5 linked regions of the Cricetulus griseus genome follow. The protein of the gene in region 4 interacts with the protein of the main gene of each other region in a pairwise test. Links are inferred from orthologs where the notes say so. Each region holds a gene or a part of one and is shown on either strand. Other genes may lie near its edges. The genes, in order: Natd1, Rabac1, Dmc1, Nif3l1 and Cdkn2c.

Region 1 (3,968 bases), on a different chromosome or scaffold from region 4:
ACAGAGGACCCTCAGTTCCTAGCACTCATGTCTGGCAGCTCACACCTGCCTGTAACTCCAGCTGCAGCATCTGATGTCCTCTTTTAACCTCTCCAGGCACTGGAATACATGTCACACGCACACACGCACGCGGCAGGCACACACACACACACACACACACACACACACACACACACACACACACTAAAAACAAATATTTAAAACACATACACAAACCTGAGTGGCTGGCCCTGGCTGAGGTAAGAAAGAGAAGGCAAGGAAGGGGCTGGAGGCAGGGGTTTTATCTGACTTCTTCCAATCTTTAGATGACAACCCTCAGAAAGCAACTTCAGGGTCTGGACTAGCTGCTGTTCACCAGCCCTGTGCCCTGGTCTCCCACCTATGAAAACAGTGGCCACACATCCAGCATTTGAGAACTTCAATTTGGGGGTCATATATATTTGAATTCTAGTCTCCTCTCACATTCCATACCAACAAGCTCTCTCCATGTTTCCTGTCATATCAGCTCAGGACTTAGGACATTTCTTCCCACCCCTGCTCACACTGCTTGGACCAGTGTAGTTGCCAGCTCCCCACAGTATGTTCCCCACCATTCCAGCCTTAGGGTTCCTGGTCCATGTCATCTGTCCTCTTCCCAGGGCATTTTCAGGAACCCACAGTGCTCAGGGTCAAAGGTAACATTCCCAGGTCCTATACTATTCTTCCCCTGTGAGCTCTCAGTCTCTCCCTAACTGCCCATGCTCCTCTATCCACGCACTGCTCCTGGCTGCTCTGAATACACAATGGGTACTGTCGGGCCTTCCCTCTCAATTGTGTCTTTCTCATGGTGCCCTCTTCAGTGCCTTCTTGCCTTATTCAGGTCTTTACTTGGCCGGGTGTTGGTGACACACGCCTTTAATCCCAGCACTCAGGGGCAGAGGCAGGCGGATCTCTGTGAGTTCAAGGCCAGCCTGGTCTACTGAGCTTCCAGGACAGACTCTAAAACAACACAGAGGAACCCTGTCTCAAAAACAAAACAAAACAAAACAAAACAAAACAAAAAAACAACAAAAAAAAAACCAAAACCAAAACCAATCAATCAAAAAAAGCCAACTTCTTGGAATCTGATGCTAAAGGGCAGCTCTGCCCCAATGTATCCTTCCTTCTGCCCAGTGTCACTTCTCCCAAGGGCTTTTGTTCTACAAGATACTATGTAATTTATTTGAGGCCCATCTCCCCCTCTAGACTGTCAGCCCCACAAGTCCTGGACATCTTGAAGAACGTTGGTAAACAGTAGGTACTCAGTTAATACTAGTGGAATGAATCCTAGTTGTACAGGCTGTGCAGGAGGAGCAGAGGAGGGGCTGCCTGCCTCTAGCCACCCTGTCTCCCTAGGGCACCATTTGTGTTAAGTGACAGAGCAGCAGGTTCCAGAAGGGTTAAGTTTAAAGCTATAGTCTGCTCACAGTCAGCATGGAGTGCTATTCTTTTGACTGGACCCACCTGGAAGAGAAAGGGGGAGGGGGAACCCAAGAGTTCTCCACCTTTCTCTTTGTGGATCTAATGGGCCTCCGGAGTCACCTGGAGAATCATAGCCTCCCTGGAACTACTTCAGATAAGAGGTTCTGAAAAACCTCAGATAAGGCCTCTCAAGTGACTAGGGCCAAGTGTCACAACAGGACTTGTTTCTCTATGGAAAGGGCATGGGCATGGCAAAGGGGCGGCTGGGCTCAGATTTGAATATGACAGGACAAGTCACTTCCTGAGCCCCAGCCTCAGTTTACTCATGTGTGATGTGGGGTGGTATGTCACAACACAGGAAGTGACAGCTGCCTCCCCTGTAGTTGGGTGGCACAAACAGGAGACCAGGCCTCTTCTGCTTGTGACCAAGTGCAGGTCACAGAAGGCTGGCTCAGGAAGTCAGCATAGGCTGCTCATTACCTTCACAGCTGTACAACTTACTGGCTGACCTCACCCAAGTATGTCCCTTCAAAACTGGCGCAGTGGCCTCTAAGTCTGGTCACGGACATGCCCTGGGGGCCCAGCTGGGAGGGGTGGGCTACAAAGAACTCAAGGTCCCATATTTCACAATCATTTCCAGCCCCCGGGATCAATGGGAGGAGTGTCGGTCTGCTGGTACAAACGCTACAGAAGATGAGGCCTTGACCTAGCTCTCTGGTTTGAAAAGTAGCCATTTACCTATGTTTATCAGCACTTGCTGTGCACCGAATGTGTCATTCTGAACCTTTACTGCCACAGTATCTCATCCTCACTGTCAGCTAAAGCAGTCTTCACTACAGCCCCAAGTCAGATTCCGGGAGGCCGAGGCACACATCGACTGGAGAAGTTGGCTAAAATCTCAGAGTCGCCTACCCGCCTCCTCCTCCAGGCCACAAATTCCCTGGGTTATGCCCCAGGCCCGCGCAGGCTCTTCCAGGACGGCAGGAAGCAACCAAACACCGGGGGTGGGGGGTCGGGGGGGGGCAGGTCATCAGCGACCTGCTCTCTGGGATGCAGAGTGGCAGCCCTCCGTCCGCGGCGCCGGAAGCCGGCAGCGCTAGCAGGTGCGGGCTGCCCGGGCGGGCGCGCTCCGGCGATGCCTGTCGGGGTTCTGGAGCCCTCCCGCCCCGGGATCCGTCCGCCAGGTCCCGCCCCGTCCCGCCCGCGCGCGCGCAAACAAAGGCAGCGCGGTACCGTTGAGGCGCACGGAGAACTGGCGACGTTGGCGGTCGTGTTCCACGCGGATGGGGCCGCTCTGCTCCAGCGCGCTCGGCGGGGCTGCGTGCGCCATCGCGCGCGCCGAAGCTGGGGACCGCGGGCCGCAGCGAACTGACTCTCGGGCGGCGCGGGCCGGAGAAGGGGGCGGGGCCGGAAATCAGCTGTGAGTCACGTGCGCCGTGCGCACGGTCTGTTTGGATACATTCCTGGCGTCTCTTAAAGAGGCCGCGTGGCGCGTTTCTGTCGCTGCCTCAACAAATGATGTGTTGGTCCCTCAAGGGTGTCGATTGTCCTGGCATTTGGCCCAGATGCATCTCTGGGACCCACACGGATCTATCTGAAAAAACACATAACGACCTGTGGGGCAATTCTGATTCTCCCAAAGACAGCCATCGAATATTGGGCATTGGCAAGCTTGAGGCATAGATAGCCTATTTTACTGTGGCTGGACATCAAAAGGCAATCTAATCTCAGCTGGAACCCTGCGGGGACTGGCGCTGTGTAGTCCATCCACCCGGGGTAGTTGAAGCTGCTGTTGAGAGATTTGAGAGATTTACCCCCAGGCATGTTTGGGACTGGGTGAAAAAGACACCTTTCCCCCAAAAAAAGCAGAAATGCGAGGCGAGGTCCCTGGGGAGCTAGCTATCCAGGAACCAGTGTCTCCCTAGAAGCTATAATATTTGGAACTACTCTTCAAACAAATAGTATTTGGAAAGCCTGCCATAGATGTTCACAGAATCACCTTCTATTAAGGTGCAAAGTTGATGTCTACATCTCTGAGACCACCACACAGATGGACATACAGAAAGCTTGGGTATACCTCAGTGGGAGAGTGCTTGAAGGTTGTGAGTTCAAGCCAATACAAACTGTGTGGGTGGTGGTGGTGGGGCCAGGGAGCACTTAACAGCCAAATGGAGATCTTCATGGATCCCCTACCAATTGGTGCCTTGCTGCTCCCTGACTTTAGCACTATTGACTTGTCAGCTTTTCCTAAGAACATCCTATAAAATGGAACTACACAACATTTCGTATCTAGTTTCTTTCCTTTCTTTTCTTTTTTTCTTTTGAGACTAGATTTCTCTGTGTAGACCTGGCTGTCCCGGAAATTACTCTGTAGACCAGGCTGGCCTTGAACTAAGAGATCCACCTGTCTCTCCCTCCTGAGTGCTGGGATTAAAGGCATGTGCTTCCACCCCCTAGTTTAGTGCTTAGTTTCTAGGCATCACTTGTGATCAGCCATGATGTTGCTGCTACCATGTTCATCACTGTGT
Region 2 (4,229 bases), on a different chromosome or scaffold from region 4:
TTCCCCAAACATAACCAGAATGAAACCACCTTCCTCAGCCCCAGCTCTGCTCTCTATCCCCCCCTCCCCAGGACCTCCCAAGCCACTTGTCTCTCAGACCAGGCTAGCCTCATGTCCCAGCCTGGATACCAGGACTCTCAACCTTGTGGCCCCATTGCCAGGTCTGACCTAAGAGGGTTTTTTTTTTTTTTTAAAGATTTATTTATTTATCATGTATACAGTGCGTGCCAGAAAAGGGCATCAGATCCCATTACAGATGGTTGTGAGCCAACATGTGGTTGCTGGGAATTGAACTCAGGACCTCTGGAAGAACAGTCAGTGCTCTTAACCCCGGAGCCATCTCTCCAGTCCATGACCTAAGGGTTTTTGTCTTCTTATTTTTAACTTATATAATTTTATTTATTACTTTGAATTACGTGTATGTACCCTGTGTGGCCATATGTGCACAAGAGTTCAGGTGCCCATGGAGGCCAGAAGCTGGAGTGACAGGTGGCCTTGTGACAGTCACCTGACATGGGGATTGGGTTCTGAGAACAAAACCTGGGTCCTTTCAAGAACAGAATTCAATTTTAACCACTGAGCCATCTCTCCAAACCATTATTTTGATTTTTTGTTTTTTAAAAACTTGAGACAGGGTTTCTCTGTATAGCACTGGCTGTTCTGGAACTCGATTTGTAGACCAGGATGACCTTGAACTCACAGAGATCCACCAGCCTCACCCCGAATGCTGGGATTAAAGGTGTGTGCCACCATGCCCAGCTCTCATTTTGATTTTTGTTTGTTTGTTTGTTTGTTTTTCGAGACAGGGTTTCTCTGTGGCTTTGGAGCCTATCCTGGCACTCGCTCTGTAGACCAGGCTGGTCTCGAACTCACAGAGATCGCCTGCCTCTGCCTCCCGAGTGCTGGGATTAAAAGAGTGCGCCACCAATGCCTGGCTCATTTTGATTTTTTAAAAGACTCTGAAGCCCAGGCTTGTTTTGAATTTACAGCAATCATCCTGTTTCAGCCTCCCAAATGCTGGGATTACAGGCATGAGCCAGAACGTCTGTCTGTCTTTGAAGTGTTTCACAAGAATCTGGTTTGTGGGGACTGGAGAGACGGCCCAGCAGTTAGGAGCACTTGCTGCTTTCCCAGAGGGCCTGCCTTCTGGGTGCTTAACAAATTTTGTAAGGCTAGGGCATGGTTGCATACTCCTTTAATCCCAGCACTCAGGAGGCAGAGGCAGGGGAAATCTGTGAGTTGGAGGCCAGTCTGGTCTACAGAGTGAGCTCCTGGCAGGCCGAGGCTACGTAAGAAGACCCTATCTCAAAACAATTTTTTTCAGGCTCTCCTATGTCTGGAAATTGTGTATGCCCTAGTGACTACTATCTGCCAAGGCCAAGTTCTCTTGTGCTTCAGGCTCTTCTCGCTCGGCCCTAGTCCATCTTCCTCTGGTAACCTGTCTGGGACCTGAAAGACTGTCACAGGTCTCCTTGGCAAACCTGGGATTTCCTCTCAGTGGGTCTTCCCTGACACTTCTCTTCCCAGTGGGCGGACAGGTCTCCGTTTCCCCTTCTGGAAATATCTAGTATCTTACCAGTTCAGCCCTGGGACAGAAGGCATGGGAAGGCAGACAGACCTAGGCCTGCACACGGTCGCCACCTGGTGTCCAGTGTGGGTACCTGCAGCGGATGCTCTCCCCGGGGAGGATTGGGAAGGACTGATTCATTTTACAGGAGACACAGGAGCCGGGGTTTTAGGGCTCTCCCTGGGTTTTGGGGAGCTGAGACTGGAGGGTATTCACCTGCGACCTTAAGGACTAAGTTTAATGACTCTAGTGCACCTCTCGGTGGGACCGACTTGATTCCCAAATATTCGGAGGTCTGCAGTTCTGTGGGACCTGGGGATCCGTTTGGGCGGGGGGTTTCTCACCAAAGAGCACAAGCTTGGACTGCAACGTGCGCAGATAGAGAATGTAACAGGCGCCAAAGAAGACAGCCAGAGCCACCAGCAGCATGGGGGATGTCACCCTGGAAGAGTGTGGGAGACAGGAGTCAGGCGTCTGAGGCTGTGTGAGCCGGCTCCCTCTAGCCTTGGGCATCACATGGGGTGGCTAGACTGCATCCCGGCTCGGGTGGATTCAGGAATACAGACCGACTCCTGGGTGCTCGGGTGACAAGGCCCTGGGCCTAGCTAACCGGCGGGGGGCGGGGCCTGGCAACAGGGGGCGGGGCCTGGCGCAGGAGGGCGGGGCTGCCGAGGCACTCACACGCAGTAAAGGATGAGGCCCAGAAACACGAACACGTAGTTGCTTTGGTAATACTCCACGTTGCGTACCAGGCGCTGGCAAAGCTCGCCCAGGTTGCGGGGTCGCGAGAAACGCTGCTGATCCACGAAAGCGCCCCAGGGCCGGATGGTCGCGCGGCGCCGCTCCAGCCACTCTCGGCCGGCGCCGGAGGGAATCAGCTTGGGCAGCAGGGTCCTGGAGGGCGGGGCGGGGCGGGGGCAGGTCAGCCGCAAGCGGTCCCAGGGCCCGGACCCCAGATCCCAGCACATCGCGGCCCCCGGGGGACATCTCCTCTGCAAAGCCCGGGGGCCGGGACGCCTGGGACCCCACGCTCGGGAGTATGGGGGGTTACACCCTGCTCGCTCACGTGGCGCTCAGCCCCTCCACCTCCGTATCCTTCTGCTGGTCCTTCTGGGCCGCCATGTCTACGCTGCGGTGTGTGGGATCGCCGCGGACAGCCTCGAGCCCCGCCGCACCCAGCCGGCCCCCGCCCGAGCCCGGACGCTCAGGACATGGCGCCGCTTGGCACTCTAGGGGGCGGTAGTTGCGTCTCCGAGCATTCTGGGAGTTGTAGTCATTGCGGCGTCAGGAGGTCGGTCGGGCTCGCAAGACACCTCGGGAGAAGTATGCCAAGAGCGCCGCGTGGGCCTCTAGGCATTGTGGGAACTGTAGTTTCAGAGCGTGCAGCGTGGGCTCTTAGGATGGGGCGTTTTTACCGGGAGTTGGCATGGCAGCTGCGGGATTCCGTGGAGGGTGCGGAGCTATCATCCTGACTCCAGACGGCATAATAATAATAATAATAATAATAATAATAATAATAATAATAATAATAATAATAATAATAATAATAAATAATTAATAATAATAATAAAAACATTGGCCGCAGCCTCAGATATTCTGATTCTGATTGGGCTGGTCTGGGGTGGAGTTCATTAACTTTCTCTTTCCTTAGAAAACAAAACAAAACAAAAATTATAGGGGCTGGAGAGATGGCTCAGATGTGTGAGAACCGGCTGCTCTTCCACTTCCAGGTGTCCTGAGTTCAATTCCCAGCAACCCACATGGTGGCTCACAACCATCTACAAATGTGATTTGGTGCCCTCTTTTGGCATATAGCATACATGAAGGCAGAACACTGTATAATAAATAAATTTTTAAAAATATTATATATGTATATATCCAGCTCTAGTCAATCAAACATACTCACGTGTACTTACACAGATACACATAACTTTTAAAATATCTTTTCTAAAAAATGGCTTCTGCCGGGCATTGGTGACTCAAGCCTTTAATCCCAGCACTCGGGAGGCAGAGGCAGGAGGATCTCTGTGAGTTCGAGGCCAGCCTGGTCTACAGAGCAAGTGCCAGGACAGCCTCCAAAAGCTACACAGAAACCTTGTCTCCAAAAACCAAAAAGAATTAAAAATAAATGGTTTATGTGTGTGTGCCACATGGGTGACGGTGCCTGAGGAGGCCCAGAAGAGGGTATTACATCCCCCCCCTGGAACTGAAGTTACCACCAATTGTGAGCTGTTCAAAATACATGGGCTGGGAACTGAACTCTAGTCCTCTGGAAAAGCAGCACGCACACTCTTAACTACTGAGTCATCTCTCCAAACCCTCTTTTTTATTTTCATTTAAAACATCTGTTTTATTTATTTACTTTTTCCAGACAGGGTCTTTCTACATAGCCCTTGGTACTCGCTCTGTAGACCAGGCTGGTCTCAAACTCTCAGCGATTCACCTGTCTCTAGTGCTTGGGTTAAAGGTGTGTGACACTACCACCTGGTTTTTAAAAATGATTTGTTTTTATTTTATGTACATTGGTCTTCTGCCTGCATACACGTCCGTGTGAGAGTGTTGGGTCTCCTGGAACTGGAGTTGCTGACAGTTGTGAGCTGCCATATGGGTGCTGGAAGAGCAGTCAGGGTGCTTAACTATTTTTTTAATTATTTAACTTTAT
Region 3 (3,422 bases), about 36 Mb from region 4:
CCTATCCCATTTCATCTCAGAACTATTCTTCATGAGCCCTGCTAATTTGGAGTTGGATGATCAGAATGATAGACATGTCCTGTTCAACCAAAGTGGGAAAATCTCTTTCAGTTCCTCCTTGTTCCTAGTATCTACCCTCCCTCATTCTCCCAAGAAAAGAGGAAAAGAGAGAAGAAAATGTAAAAGACTATAAGAAGCACGTGGGAGGCTTTCTGATGCTGTTAACTTGGTCAGAAATAGATGTAAATTAAAGCCCTCTGAAGGAATGCGGGGTGCTATGCCACCTTCTTGTATGTCACCTCAAGACTGTGAATGCTGCAGTAGTCAGGAAGTACAGACACTGAGAAAAATTTCTTGGATTATGTTTTGTTGAAAAATGATTATTTAAATTGAACTGTTTAGTTAAATAATAAGCAATTTATTGAGGATATCTTATATGATAAGTTTGCTGTCAGGGTAGAGCTAATGTGTCACAATGATCAGCCATGGTTCCTAGTACACAGTGGCTCCCAATGAGTTATTCTTAGTATCTTGAGTCCTTGCAATAGTCCTAAAAGTTCAGGAGTTCACCTTTCCCCCTCATTTTACTATGAAAGAAACTGGGTAAAGTAAGTAGGTAGTAAATGTTTGAGTCAATAATAGGAAAACAGATAAATAATAGCTGTAGTCTCTAGGCTAACACTTTGCCTGAATTATTTCATCTTATTCTTACAGTTGTCCTACAAGTTGGTACCATTATTATTTACCATGAAAAGTCAGAAACAGAATGGTTAAACAGTTTTCCTGAGGTCACAGAGCTGACAAGCAGACTTTGAACTCAAGTCTAATTCAAAAGCTCATAAACCATACAACACATCAGACCTGTGCCTGCCAGAGGGAAAACTAGCATGTTTTCAGGGATACACTCATTATTATAGTGAAATGACCACTGTTCATGGCCCTCAGCCTTTAAGCATAGGTGTGATTGGATTAGAGAATTCTTCTCTCAGGGGGAACATAAAGCTAGCTTATAAGACTCAGCAAAAAGACAAAGGACTAGTCTGATAAAGAAAATGTAACTACATTCAAAGTTCATGTGACCAGTGAGTGAAATCTCCCTAAATATAGACCTCTAGCAGAATCCAATTTTTAATCCAAATTGTTAATAACTATTAAATCTGGCTTCGGATCTCAGCACACACTTCATGTGGTTCACAACTGCATGTAACTCCAGCTGCAGGGAATCTGACACCGCTTGCCTACATGGACAACTGCACCCATGTGCACATACCCACATACACGTAACTTCAAAACAATTAAATAAACTTCTGGGTTTTTTTTAAAGATTTATTTATTTATTATGTGTACAGTGTTCGGCACCAAATCTCATTACAGATGGTTGTGAGCCAACATGTGGTTGCTGGGAATTGAACTCAGGACCTTTGGAAGAGCAGGCAGTGCTCTTAACTGCTGAGCCATCTCTCTAGCCCCAAACTTCTGTTTTTTGAAGAAATTTTCACTTTGAAAATATATGCACCTAATAGAAGCATTGCCTTGGTTTAAAGTAAAATCACCTTGTTTTGCAACATTGCAAATGATTAATTTAGACAAGATTTATTGACTGGTGCTAAAATAAATGGTGAAAGCTTATTGTAAAACATGATGTTACATTCATAAATTACTGAATTTCCAAGAGGTATTTTTTGTGTCTTTTCTAATGAAGAACTCTCACAAACACCATCTATTTATTTTGTCTAATTGGCTGGGCTTTTTGTTTGTTTTGTTTTTGTTTTCAGACAGGGTCTCACTATGTAGACCTTGAATTTATAGATCTACTTGGCTCCTCCTCCTGAGTGCTAGGATTAAAGGTGAGCATCATCACACCTGGCTCAAGAATACTATCTTAGCCAGTGGTGTTGGTGTACACCTTTGATCCCAGCACTAGGGAGGCAGAGGCAGGAGGATCTCTGTGAGTTCGAGACCAGCCTGGTCTACAAGAGCTAATTCCAGGACAGCCTCAAAAGCCACAGAGAAACCCTGCCTTAGAAATGGGAATGTTAGTTCCCAGGTATCTCTCAAGATGAATACCAATAGTATTTGTAACTTCTTTTCTGTCATAATATGATTTTTGAATCACCATGACTAGACATAGATAAGAGCTTACCTTTTTGTGTGTGTGTAATTATTCTTGTATGTATGCATTGATGTTGCACATGTATGTGCAGGCCAGAGATTGACATCAGGTGTCTTCCTCTGTTGCTTTCTACCTCAGTTTTGGGACACGGTCACTAACTGAACCTGGAGCTTGCCAATTCAGCTATACTGGTCAACCAGCAAACTCTAGGAACCCTCCACCTCTTCAGCACTAAGAGTATGGGCACATACCACTGCACCCAGCTTTTAAGACCTTACTCCTTAAATATCCATATTTATAGAAATAAACTTTGGGCAACAACAAAAATATTTCAAGATTGTTTTCACTGCACATTCGTAACTTGTACAACATTGAAGGAATCCACCATAAAACTTATGAACAAGAAAGGCTCTCTCGAATGGGAATGTAGCTCAATAGTAAAATACTTGCCTGGTATGTGTGAGGCCCTGAGTTCCATCCACAGCATCACAGAGGAAGAGGGGAGGGAGAGTTCACAATTTACTTTTTTACAAAGCCTCAAGGAGAAAGTTTATCAGTTTATTTACTTACCTACTTAGAGATAAGGTTTCACCATGTAGCCCAGGCTTGCCTTGAACTTTCAGTCCTCCTGCCTTAGTCTTTCATCTACCTAGCTTAGATAATTCTTATTCATCAGACTAAAATAGTGCCTGGTACATGGAGGTACTATTTTAGTACCTCCGAGAGAGGTGGATCTCTGTGAATTTGAGGCCAGCCTGGTCTCTAGAGTGAGTTCCAGGACAGCCAGGGCTACACAAAGAAACACCATCTCAAAGCCACCACCACCACTACCCCCAAAAAATAAAAACAAATAAGTATTTCTGATAAAAGAGTTAGTGAATAAATCAATCCAGTATTTGTAGTTTATAAGGAGTTTTTTTCCAAGACAAAAAAGGCACACCTGAGGTTGACCTCTGAAATGCTTACATACACACAAAGAATACACACCTATTTCCTCCCTGCCATTCCACTCACAGAGGCTGCTGCTTCCTTGGAAATATCACTATATATCCAAATGAAGTCTGAAGAAATGTTTTATTGATTCAGTTTCCAGGCAGATCCCAAGAAACCCATTGGTGGACACATTCTGGCTCATGCTTCAACAACAAGAATAAGCTTGCGGAAGGGAAGAGGAGAATTGAGGATTGCCAAGATTTATGACAGGTATATACTTCTTTATTCTTCTTCAGATCCTGTTCACATGCCTTTAAACAGAATTGCTAGCCCTGAGAGACTATCCATTGAATTAACAAATGAACTTTTTGTTTGT
Region 4 (4,099 bases):
TAAATAAATAAAAATAAACAAGAAACCAGACAGAAACCTTGGTGTCTCTGTAACTAACCTAGAAGGCATCTCCCGAAGGTTGAGTTTTGATTCACACAGCTCAGAGTGCCCGGGGTACTGACACCGTGTCATCTGAACAATCATGAAGCCACCTAGCAATGAAGACTCATGCTCTGTTTGCTCATCCCCCTGGTGCTGGCTAGCTTTTGTCAGCCTGTCACAAGTCAAGGTCAGCTGGGAAAAGGAAGCCTCAAATGAAAAAAACGCCTCAGTCAGAGTGCCACTTGGTAAGTATGTGGAGCATTTCTTGATTAAGGGCTGATGTGGGAAAACCCAGGACCCTGAGTAGGCTAATCCAGCCATAAGCGTTCAGTGGGTCTGTCTCCCTGGTGGTCTTTGGGGATCTTTGAGACTTGGGCACAACAAAGCCATTCCATAATCAAGCCAATAAGCAGTGTTCCTCTATGGCTTCTACTTCAGTTCCTGTCTGCAGGTTCCTGCCCTGGTTTACCTTCATGATGGACTGTTAGATGGAAGATGAAACAAACCCTTTCCTTCTCAAGGTGCTTTTGGTGTTTATCAGGGCAATAGAAACCTGATTAGGACAATACTTTACATAGAGTTCAAGGCCAGCCTGAGCAACAGGAGACCCATTAGTAAAACAAAAACAGGCTTTCTCTGTGGCTTTGGAGGCTGTCCTGGAACTAGCTCTTGTAGACCAGGCAAGTCTCAAATTCACAGAGATCCGCCTGCCTCTGCCTCCCAAGTGCTGGCATTAAAGGCACGCATCACCAACGCCCGGCTTTGTTTGGTTTTGGTGGGATGATATTCAATGTAGCCATTGTCTGACTGTATAGCTCAGGCTGGCCTTAAACTCATGCTCTCCTGACTCAGCTTCCTGGACTCTTAAAGTATAAGATTTTGGAGTACAGGCTTATACTACACCAAGCCTAATTTACATTGTTTCATTTTTCTTTCTTTTTTTAAAGAGTTTGTTTAGATTTATTTATTTCATTATTTTATGTGCCTGAGTGTTTTGCCTGTGTTATGTGTAAACATCATGTGTGTGTGTCCACAGAGGCCAGAAGAGGGCATCAGTTCTCCTAGGACTGAAGTTAACCTATGGTTGTGAGCCTCCATGTGGGTGCTGGGAACCCAGGTCCTCTGTGAGAGCAACAAAAACGTTTTCTTAACTGCTGAGCCAATTCTTCAGCCTCAATAAATAGTTCATTTATTTATCGAGCTGATTCAGTAGTGGAGAGCAGTCCTTGCTCATGCAGAGGACCTGCCTGTGTTTGATATTCCAACATCCACATAGCAATTCACAGCTGTAGGGAGAAGGCTGGCCCTGCTAGAGTCAGAACAGGACATAACTATACACCAAATTCTCAGCACAAAGGAGGGTTGGAGGTGGCGGGGTGGGTGCTGCAAAAGCAAAAAGCAGCAAGAGCAAGGCCAAGAGCAAGAGCAAGCACAAGCAAGCAAGAAAACAGGTGTTTTTTTTTTTTTTTTTTTTTTTGTAGGAGTGGGTTTTAAGGAGAAAAAGGGGGAGTCTGTGCTTGGGGGAGTTGGTAGATCCTGATTGAACATGTTAGCCAAATAATGAATTTTGGTTGTTGGACCTCGGTGTTTTGTCTCTGGAATGAGTCAGTGGCCAAATAAGGGAGTGGACTTCAGGGGCTAGCTTTAGGAATGTAATAGAACAGATTAGCAAGTGGGAGAGGGGTAAAAAGCAAAACCTGTTGGCACCATGTTTGCCATGCTGGAGCCTGCTGGAGCCCTTCATCAACTGACTGTAACTCCAACTCTAGAGGATCCAGAACCCACCGCACACATGTGGGGCACTTACATACAAGCAAGCAAAAACACTCAACAGATAGAAAAATAAATACATTTTTAAAGGAAACTCAATTATCAAATCTAAGCAACACATTATTTTTAGTACTATATAAAAATAGAAAAACCCATTTCCCCTAGAAAAAAAATGAATAATAAGAAGACATTTTAAAACTTCAAAGTATTTGTAGAGCTATCACTAAATATTGAAGGACACGAGATTTCTCACCAAGCCCTTTGGCCAGCCAGTTGTTGACTCCCTGGGGTGCAGCATCATAGGCCGTATGGGGAGAGTAGATGGCGACCCTGTTCTCCAGTGCCCGGATCACCAGGCGCTCCTTCCAGGTTTTCCAAGTTATGTGCTTCATGGCCCGGAAAATTGGTGGATGGTAGGAGAGAATGAGATCTGCCTTCTTTTGCAGAGCCTCCTCCATGACCTCCTCAGTCAAGTCGTTGGTCAGGAAGAGTGTATTTACAGTATGGGGAGGGCTTGGTTCCACCAGTAATCCCACATTGTCCCAACTCTCAGCAAATGAGAGCGATGCAAAGTCATTCAAGGAGGAAAGCAGAGCCTTCAGATCCATGAAGGAACGAGAAGACCGGCAGATCCAGGACGGGGCCAGTCGGACACTTGTAGGTAGCAGGTGTGCAGATGACAGCATACAGAAACCAGGTAAAACCGTGTCTGGAGTCAAAACACAGGAAATGGCATTTATGTAGAGTTCAGTTCTGCACTTTGAGGCATAAAGCATGTGAGTAAAAGAGCTGGTTCAAGGTCTTTTCCAGAACAAGCAAGGGCCATGTGGCACAGCTGTAGTCCTTGAGTCAGGACCCTCGCCCCTGCTGCAGCAAGGGAGTGTCCCGCCCCCATCTCCCGTGTTCTCATCCCCCGTGGCACCCTGTAATCGCTACAGGCCTCCCTGAAGTGCAACTTCAGCGAGAGGAACAGATAACCCCGCGAGCCTCTCACTCGCCCACTACTCACCGGTCCCAGAAACTCTTCTGTGCGTCACTTCCGCTCTGCCCTGAAGCTACCAGCAATGTAGGAATGAAGTTGGGCGGAAGTGGTCCTGTGCGTTTTGCTTCCGACTCCAGAGACCTGCATGAAGTTGCACGGACAGCAGCAGGTTGTTTCTTAGTGTGACTGTCTGGAGAACCTTCTCGCTGTTAGGTGGGGGGCCGAGAGGTGAGGTGCTGAGAGGGGAGACTGACGGGAAGCAGATGTTCTCTGCGAAGGGCCCCGCGCTCTGCTCCGGTGGGGCAAAAACACTCATTTGGAACCCGCAGACATGCGGGGACCTGAGGTTGAGTCTTTTCTGTTTCCGCAGCGGCGGTGACAGCGAAGTGGGCAAGTGTGGGGTAACGGCATTTCTCCTTTTGTGCGTGCACTCGATGCCTGCTGCACCCCACGTTGGCCCGTTTTGTTTCTTGGGGTTACTCGTGATGAACTCTTGGGCTGCAGATGGTCTTTCTGGGACTTTAGATTGAAGAATGTATGTTGCTAGTGACCACTACCACGGGGAAAGCACATAGAGCATATGGGAAAGGCGCTTTTAAATACGATTGTCAGGTTAGTAAGACCTGGGGTTAGAAAAAGACTGTGAAGAGTGAAATTTATTGTACAGACGTCTGGGTAAAGGGTGCGCCAGTGCCTAGCTCGACCAATAGACAGGAAGGTGGGAATATGTCTAGCCTACAGAAAGAGCCTTGAAGAAAGATGAGAAAAATAAGTAGAGTGTTGGGAGAGAGGGGTGCTTGTTGCGTTGGGTAGGATCTCAACACTTCTATGGTAGGATTTTTATTTAGAGGATGTTATAAGCTTTTCTTTGTAAATCTACCATAAAGATGAACAAGTGTGCTGGGAAAGATAGGGTTAAAATGAACTAATTCCTCTTTTAGGATTAAAAACTCATCTTCAGTTTTTCTCTGCAAGGCTTCCTGGAACCATCAAGAGGGAGGATGGTAAGTATTGTAGAATTCTTCTAACTGGGTGGTTGTTGGCTTGTTTTTAACCCCGTCGGATTCCCTGGAGCTGGAGCCACTAGCAGGTGTGGGTTCTGGGAACCGGACAGGTCCTCTTGTAAAAGCAGCAAGTGCTCCTTACTGCAAGCCATGTCTGCACCCTATTACATGTTTTAATTTTTTTGTTTTTGTTTTTGGTTTTTCGAGACCAGGCTGGCCTCGAACTCACAGAGATCCGCCTGCCTCTGCCTCCCTAGTGTTGGGATTAAAGGCCCACCAACTCTCAGCCATGTTTTAAAAT
Region 5 (4,006 bases), about 370 Mb from region 4:
AAAATTCCAGCATTTGAACTGGTTTCATGTATATTTAGGTATATTTATAAAATAAGTTATGTAATAATATAAGTGAGCTACTTACTAGACACTAAATATTTATTAGTCAAAAGTAACACATTTGAAAATATGAATATCTTTAAGATGTTTTTAAAAGAATAACAAATTATTAAAATATATTTAGAATGAATAATATTTTAAGTGCAAATTACTCACTTTCTCATGATACTAAGTTTTCACTTTAATAAACCCTGTCACCCCTTCATTTAGAACAGTAGAAAAATGACCCAAAATTTACTTTTCCAGAGCCTCCATGGAATATATTTTCTGGTTATTAAAAATTAGTACAGTCTAATTTTAATTTTTGCCACATCTCTCTAGAACCTTAGTCACATTTAAAGAGTTAAAGTGAGCTAAACATGAAATAGACACCTTAGAACTTTGTAAAGCAAATATACCATGAAGGTCTTTTATTATTCTCCTTGAAAACAACAGCAAAGAAAAAAAAGGCTTCTGCAGTTGAGTAGGAAACATAATCACAGATTAAAATCTGCCATCTTTGGCAGAAAGTAATAGTAATATTGCAAATGATTTTGAAGAAAGTTCTTTCTGATGACACAATTTCAGAATCAGGATTATGCATACTGAAAAAGACTCCTATTTGTGTGTGTATGCTTCATTATATGTACTGATATTAAGCTATAAGTGGGTATTATCTAAGTTTGTTAATATAAAAACAAAAGTGGCTAGTTTTTAAAAAAATGTTTGTCAAAATCCAATTATCTTAATTACCCAATTGTCTTGTTTGTAAAAGATTCTGTACTATCTTTTTCTGAACATGAATGAAGTGGCTTAGACTTTGTGAAACTGACCTATCTTTTGTCTTTTCAATAGAAAACCTTTTTAAGGCATTGCTATCTATCATCACCAAACCAGTACAAAAGTGTTAGATGGTAAAACAAAAGCAAAACCTTTCCTTATTTAATCTACCTGAATCAGGATAAATATTTTAGTATCTCTGCATGAGCCACCTCAATAGTGAAAATTTTGCAAGGCCAGTTATACTCTGATTTAAAATATACAGGCCGTGTGAGCTTCTACTGTGGCATCCTGTCACTTAAATTTCTAATTTTAAAAACAGAAACAGAGCTCTCTAATGCCCTTATCCCAGTGGGTTTTCAAAAGCTGCTCATGGATAGGAAAAGCTCCCAGGAGTACCATCTGAACACCAATAAAAGCAACTAGTGTATAGAGATCACTTTTCTATTTTTTTGTTTGTTTGTTTCTAAGCCTTCCAGCAAAATTACATGATAACATTTGGAGGAGAAAAAAATATTATCAGGTACATACTTGGCAGCTGGACATGTGTCATTTGTTGCCTGTAAATCTAATTACTGAAAAATAGAGCATACCACCGCATGACCACGGGGAAAATAAAAACATTACTGCTTAGCTCTGATTAGAAAATTCAACTTTTTATTTCTCCTCAATCCTGAATGGGTGGGTTAGGTAGTATAGTAACTGTGGAATATACATCCTGTCCTGGTGCCCAGGCTATCCCATTCCAAACGAGGAAAGGTCGTTTGTTAAGACATGAAACAGCTTAAGGAAAAACACCCTTCCTAGTAGTCAGGGAAATTAACCTTAAAGTCAATTATTGGGAACAAAATAGGTGAAAACCACTATTAACTGTGTATTTACTTCAAATAATAATCATAATAATGTGCTTAAAGAGCTATCTAAAACAACACAGCACAAAACAAACAGATTTCGACGCTAAGACTACTTTAAAATCTTCACTGTCACAAAAACATTCCAAAAAATATGACCAAACCTAGGATTCTCTTTATACCGAGGATGTTACTGGATTTGACGAGTTTCTTCAAAGTACGTCATTTTGGGGAGTTGGATCCACTTAAAGATATAAAATATGGCAACCAAGTAGGTTTTAAAACCGTGACGATTTGTACCCCTCAAAACTTAAAAACTGTCATTTTAGAAGCCCAAGCAACCTTATTGACTCGCTTTCCCCACCTCTGTGGATACCAACCTGCAGCGCAGTTCTCCCAAATCCATTTTGAGCGTTGACGTTTACATTATTTTGCAACAAACTAGTAAGTTGCTCTAGGTCCCCCCTGGCAGCTGCGGACGCCAACTCGTTCCCCCAAGGCTCGGCCATTCTTTAGGGTCCTGACGATCGGGAAAAGACGATTAGTTGCTTCTCCTTTCCCCCTTTCCTTTGCTCCTAATCAGGCTGCATGATGGCATCGGAGGCTGACAGAAGGACTGGGATGGTTAATCTAGAGTAGAGCTTGGTAGTAAATACTAGTAAGGTCGGCCTGCCAAAAGCCCGCCCCTTGATTCACACGTGATTATTCAGCAAAACTGAGCCCATTGGAGAGGGGCTCTTCTCCTAGCTTTTTAGCTTAACCCCTAAGAAGGATTCTGGCGATTCAACAGACACATACAGACACACAGGCATTCTTGATTAATTACTCTGGACGTGAGATGCAGGCAGAGCTGTCACGTACCTAAACTTCACAGTTCTGTGAGGAGGATGTGCGGAGACGTAAGAGACTAGGTCAGCTCAGAAAACACTGCGGAAGAAAAAGTATTGGAGAGGAGAAAAGGCATTAACCCACCCTTGTTTACAATGGTGACTTGAGGCAGAACTTCAGGGACAAGTCCTCCGTAGGGCTCGCTTTCCATCCGTCTCGCCGAAGGGGGTAGTCCCAAGTGCTGCTCGCTAGGAGAGCGCCGCGGTGGCTGGATGCTGACGTGCTGTGGGGGGTTAAAGATGATCGCCCAAGGCAGACGGGAGCAGCAGTTCCGTGGCCCTCAACTCTCGGGTCTCAACGACTCCCCAGTGGGCTCGGCGTCTTCAGAAGAGCCCCCGGAGCCCGCAGCCGCAGCCCCGCCGAGCCTCAGAGGCCGTGGGAGCCGGGCAGGGCGCAGGTCTCCGGAGGCTGGTGGGCGCGCGGCAGACCCCCGCCAAGCCCGTCATGCCGGTCCCGCCGGGTCCCGGGACTCCCGGCAGCCTGAGAAAGGAGGAGGGCGGCGAAGGACGCGTCTACCGGGCTCCGGTCGCTGAGGCAGCTCGCCGTAGCATCGCGGCTGCACCGGGCCAGCTCTCCAGTAACTTCCCGCCCACGACCGAGCTAGCTCAGGCTCTGCACTGCAAGCTCTCACTGAGGGGCGGCTGTCGCCTCTGCAACGGTCTTTCCCTCCTTTCCGATTTTCCGGGGGCCTCCGGTGATGGGAAGGGTCCTTGGAAGTACGGGCGGTCTCCACAGTTCCCGGGCGCAGTCAGTCCCGCCGATTTGTTGGCGTCCGCCCAGCAGCTCGGGCGCCTGTTGCCACTTGGCCAGTTGTCCGCGGTCCTCCGGCCTGTGCCCCTAAGTCTGTACCGCGGGGACAGGGCAGCGGCTGCCAGCCAGCTGGGTCCCCGAGCCGAGCCAGGCAGCGCCGGACCCTCGCGAGCCGCAGCTGACAGTTTCTTTTGTAGTCCGATTCCCCAAAATCTCTGATCGCGGCTCTCTTCACGGCCACAGGCACTTGCGCGTCTTTCCCCTTTAGGATCTTTCCCTTCCTTCCCTCCTTTGCTTCTTTTTCCGCTGAAGCAACTGCTGCTTCGGTTGCCTCTGCAGAGACGGTGCCGGTTTCTTATCCCTTTTTTTCCGACCTCATCAGCTTTTTTTGAAAAGAAAAAAATTGAGCGCTTTTTGAGTTGAAAAACCCGCCCCCATTTTAACGGCAGAGTTTTAAGGAGGCTCCGCCGAGTTAGCGCGCCGCGGGAGCGGGAAGGCCGGGCGCCGCCCACGCCCCGCCCTCCGCCTGGCGGCGCACTGGCCGGCGGCGCGCTCGCTCCGCCCTCGCGGCCCCGCGCTCTTCTCGGCCCGCGCTGGGCCTGGGTCAGCCCGGCGGCCGCGGAGTTCCTGGCCGCCCTCCCTGCGGGCCGCCCCTGCCGAAGCGGGATCGGTGCCGCCCGGACGGGCCTGCTGGCCTG

Evidence for each region.
Region 1: the proteins of Nif3l1 (region 4) and Natd1 interact in binary tests that used the Homo sapiens proteins (3 or more experiments, as listed by UniProt). The two-hybrid records come from large-scale screens. The link is inferred for Cricetulus griseus from reciprocal best matches to the Homo sapiens genes NIF3L1 and NATD1.
Region 2: the proteins of Nif3l1 (region 4) and Rabac1 interact in binary tests that used the Homo sapiens proteins (3 or more experiments, as listed by UniProt). The two-hybrid records come from large-scale screens. The link is inferred for Cricetulus griseus from reciprocal best matches to the Homo sapiens genes NIF3L1 and RABAC1.
Region 3: the proteins of Nif3l1 (region 4) and Dmc1 interact in binary tests that used the Homo sapiens proteins (3 or more experiments, as listed by UniProt). The two-hybrid records come from large-scale screens. The link is inferred for Cricetulus griseus from reciprocal best matches to the Homo sapiens genes NIF3L1 and DMC1.
Region 5: the proteins of Nif3l1 (region 4) and Cdkn2c interact in binary tests that used the Homo sapiens proteins (3 or more experiments, as listed by UniProt). The two-hybrid records come from large-scale screens. The link is inferred for Cricetulus griseus from reciprocal best matches to the Homo sapiens genes NIF3L1 and CDKN2C.

The regions. Positions count from the first base shown.
Region 1 is NC_048600.1:74,899,578-74,903,545, forward strand, and holds the start of Natd1 (protein NATD1), read right to left. Parts: upstream 2,806-3,968; 5' UTR 2,771-2,805; coding exon 2,674-2,770; intron 1-2,673.
Region 2 is NC_048602.1:9,714,288-9,718,516, forward strand, and holds the start of Rabac1 (prenylated Rab acceptor protein 1), read right to left. Parts: upstream 2,808-4,229; 5' UTR 2,690-2,807; coding exon 2,634-2,689; intron 2,462-2,633; coding exon 2,249-2,461; intron 2,010-2,248; coding exon 1,912-2,009; intron 1-1,911. UniProt on the Homo sapiens protein: General Rab protein regulator required for vesicle formation from the Golgi complex. May control vesicle docking and fusion by mediating the action of Rab GTPases to the SNARE complexes.
Region 3 is NC_048595.1:376,733,205-376,736,626, reverse strand, and holds part of Dmc1 (meiotic recombination protein DMC1/LIM15 homolog), read left to right. Parts: intron 1-3,199; coding exon 3,200-3,316; intron 3,317-3,422. UniProt on the Homo sapiens protein: Participates in meiotic recombination, specifically in homologous strand assimilation, which is required for the resolution of meiotic double-strand breaks.
Region 4 is NC_048595.1:412,833,962-412,838,060, reverse strand, and holds the start of Nif3l1 (NIF3-like protein 1), read right to left. Parts: upstream 2,807-4,099; 5' UTR 2,589-2,806; coding exon 2,066-2,588; intron 1-2,065. Other genes in the region: Ppil3 (peptidyl-prolyl cis-trans isomerase-like 3), read left to right, coding at 2,885-2,963, 3,770-3,798. UniProt on the Homo sapiens protein: May function as a transcriptional corepressor through its interaction with COPS2, negatively regulating the expression of genes involved in neuronal differentiation.
Region 5 is NC_048595.1:40,159,788-40,163,793, reverse strand, and holds the start of Cdkn2c (cyclin-dependent kinase 4 inhibitor C), read right to left. Parts: upstream 2,803-4,006; 5' UTR 2,532-2,802; intron 2,520-2,531; exon of another isoform or gene 2,191-2,519; 5' UTR 2,180-2,190; coding exon 2,051-2,179; intron 1-2,050. UniProt on the Homo sapiens protein: Interacts strongly with CDK6, weakly with CDK4. Inhibits cell growth and proliferation with a correlated dependence on endogenous retinoblastoma protein RB.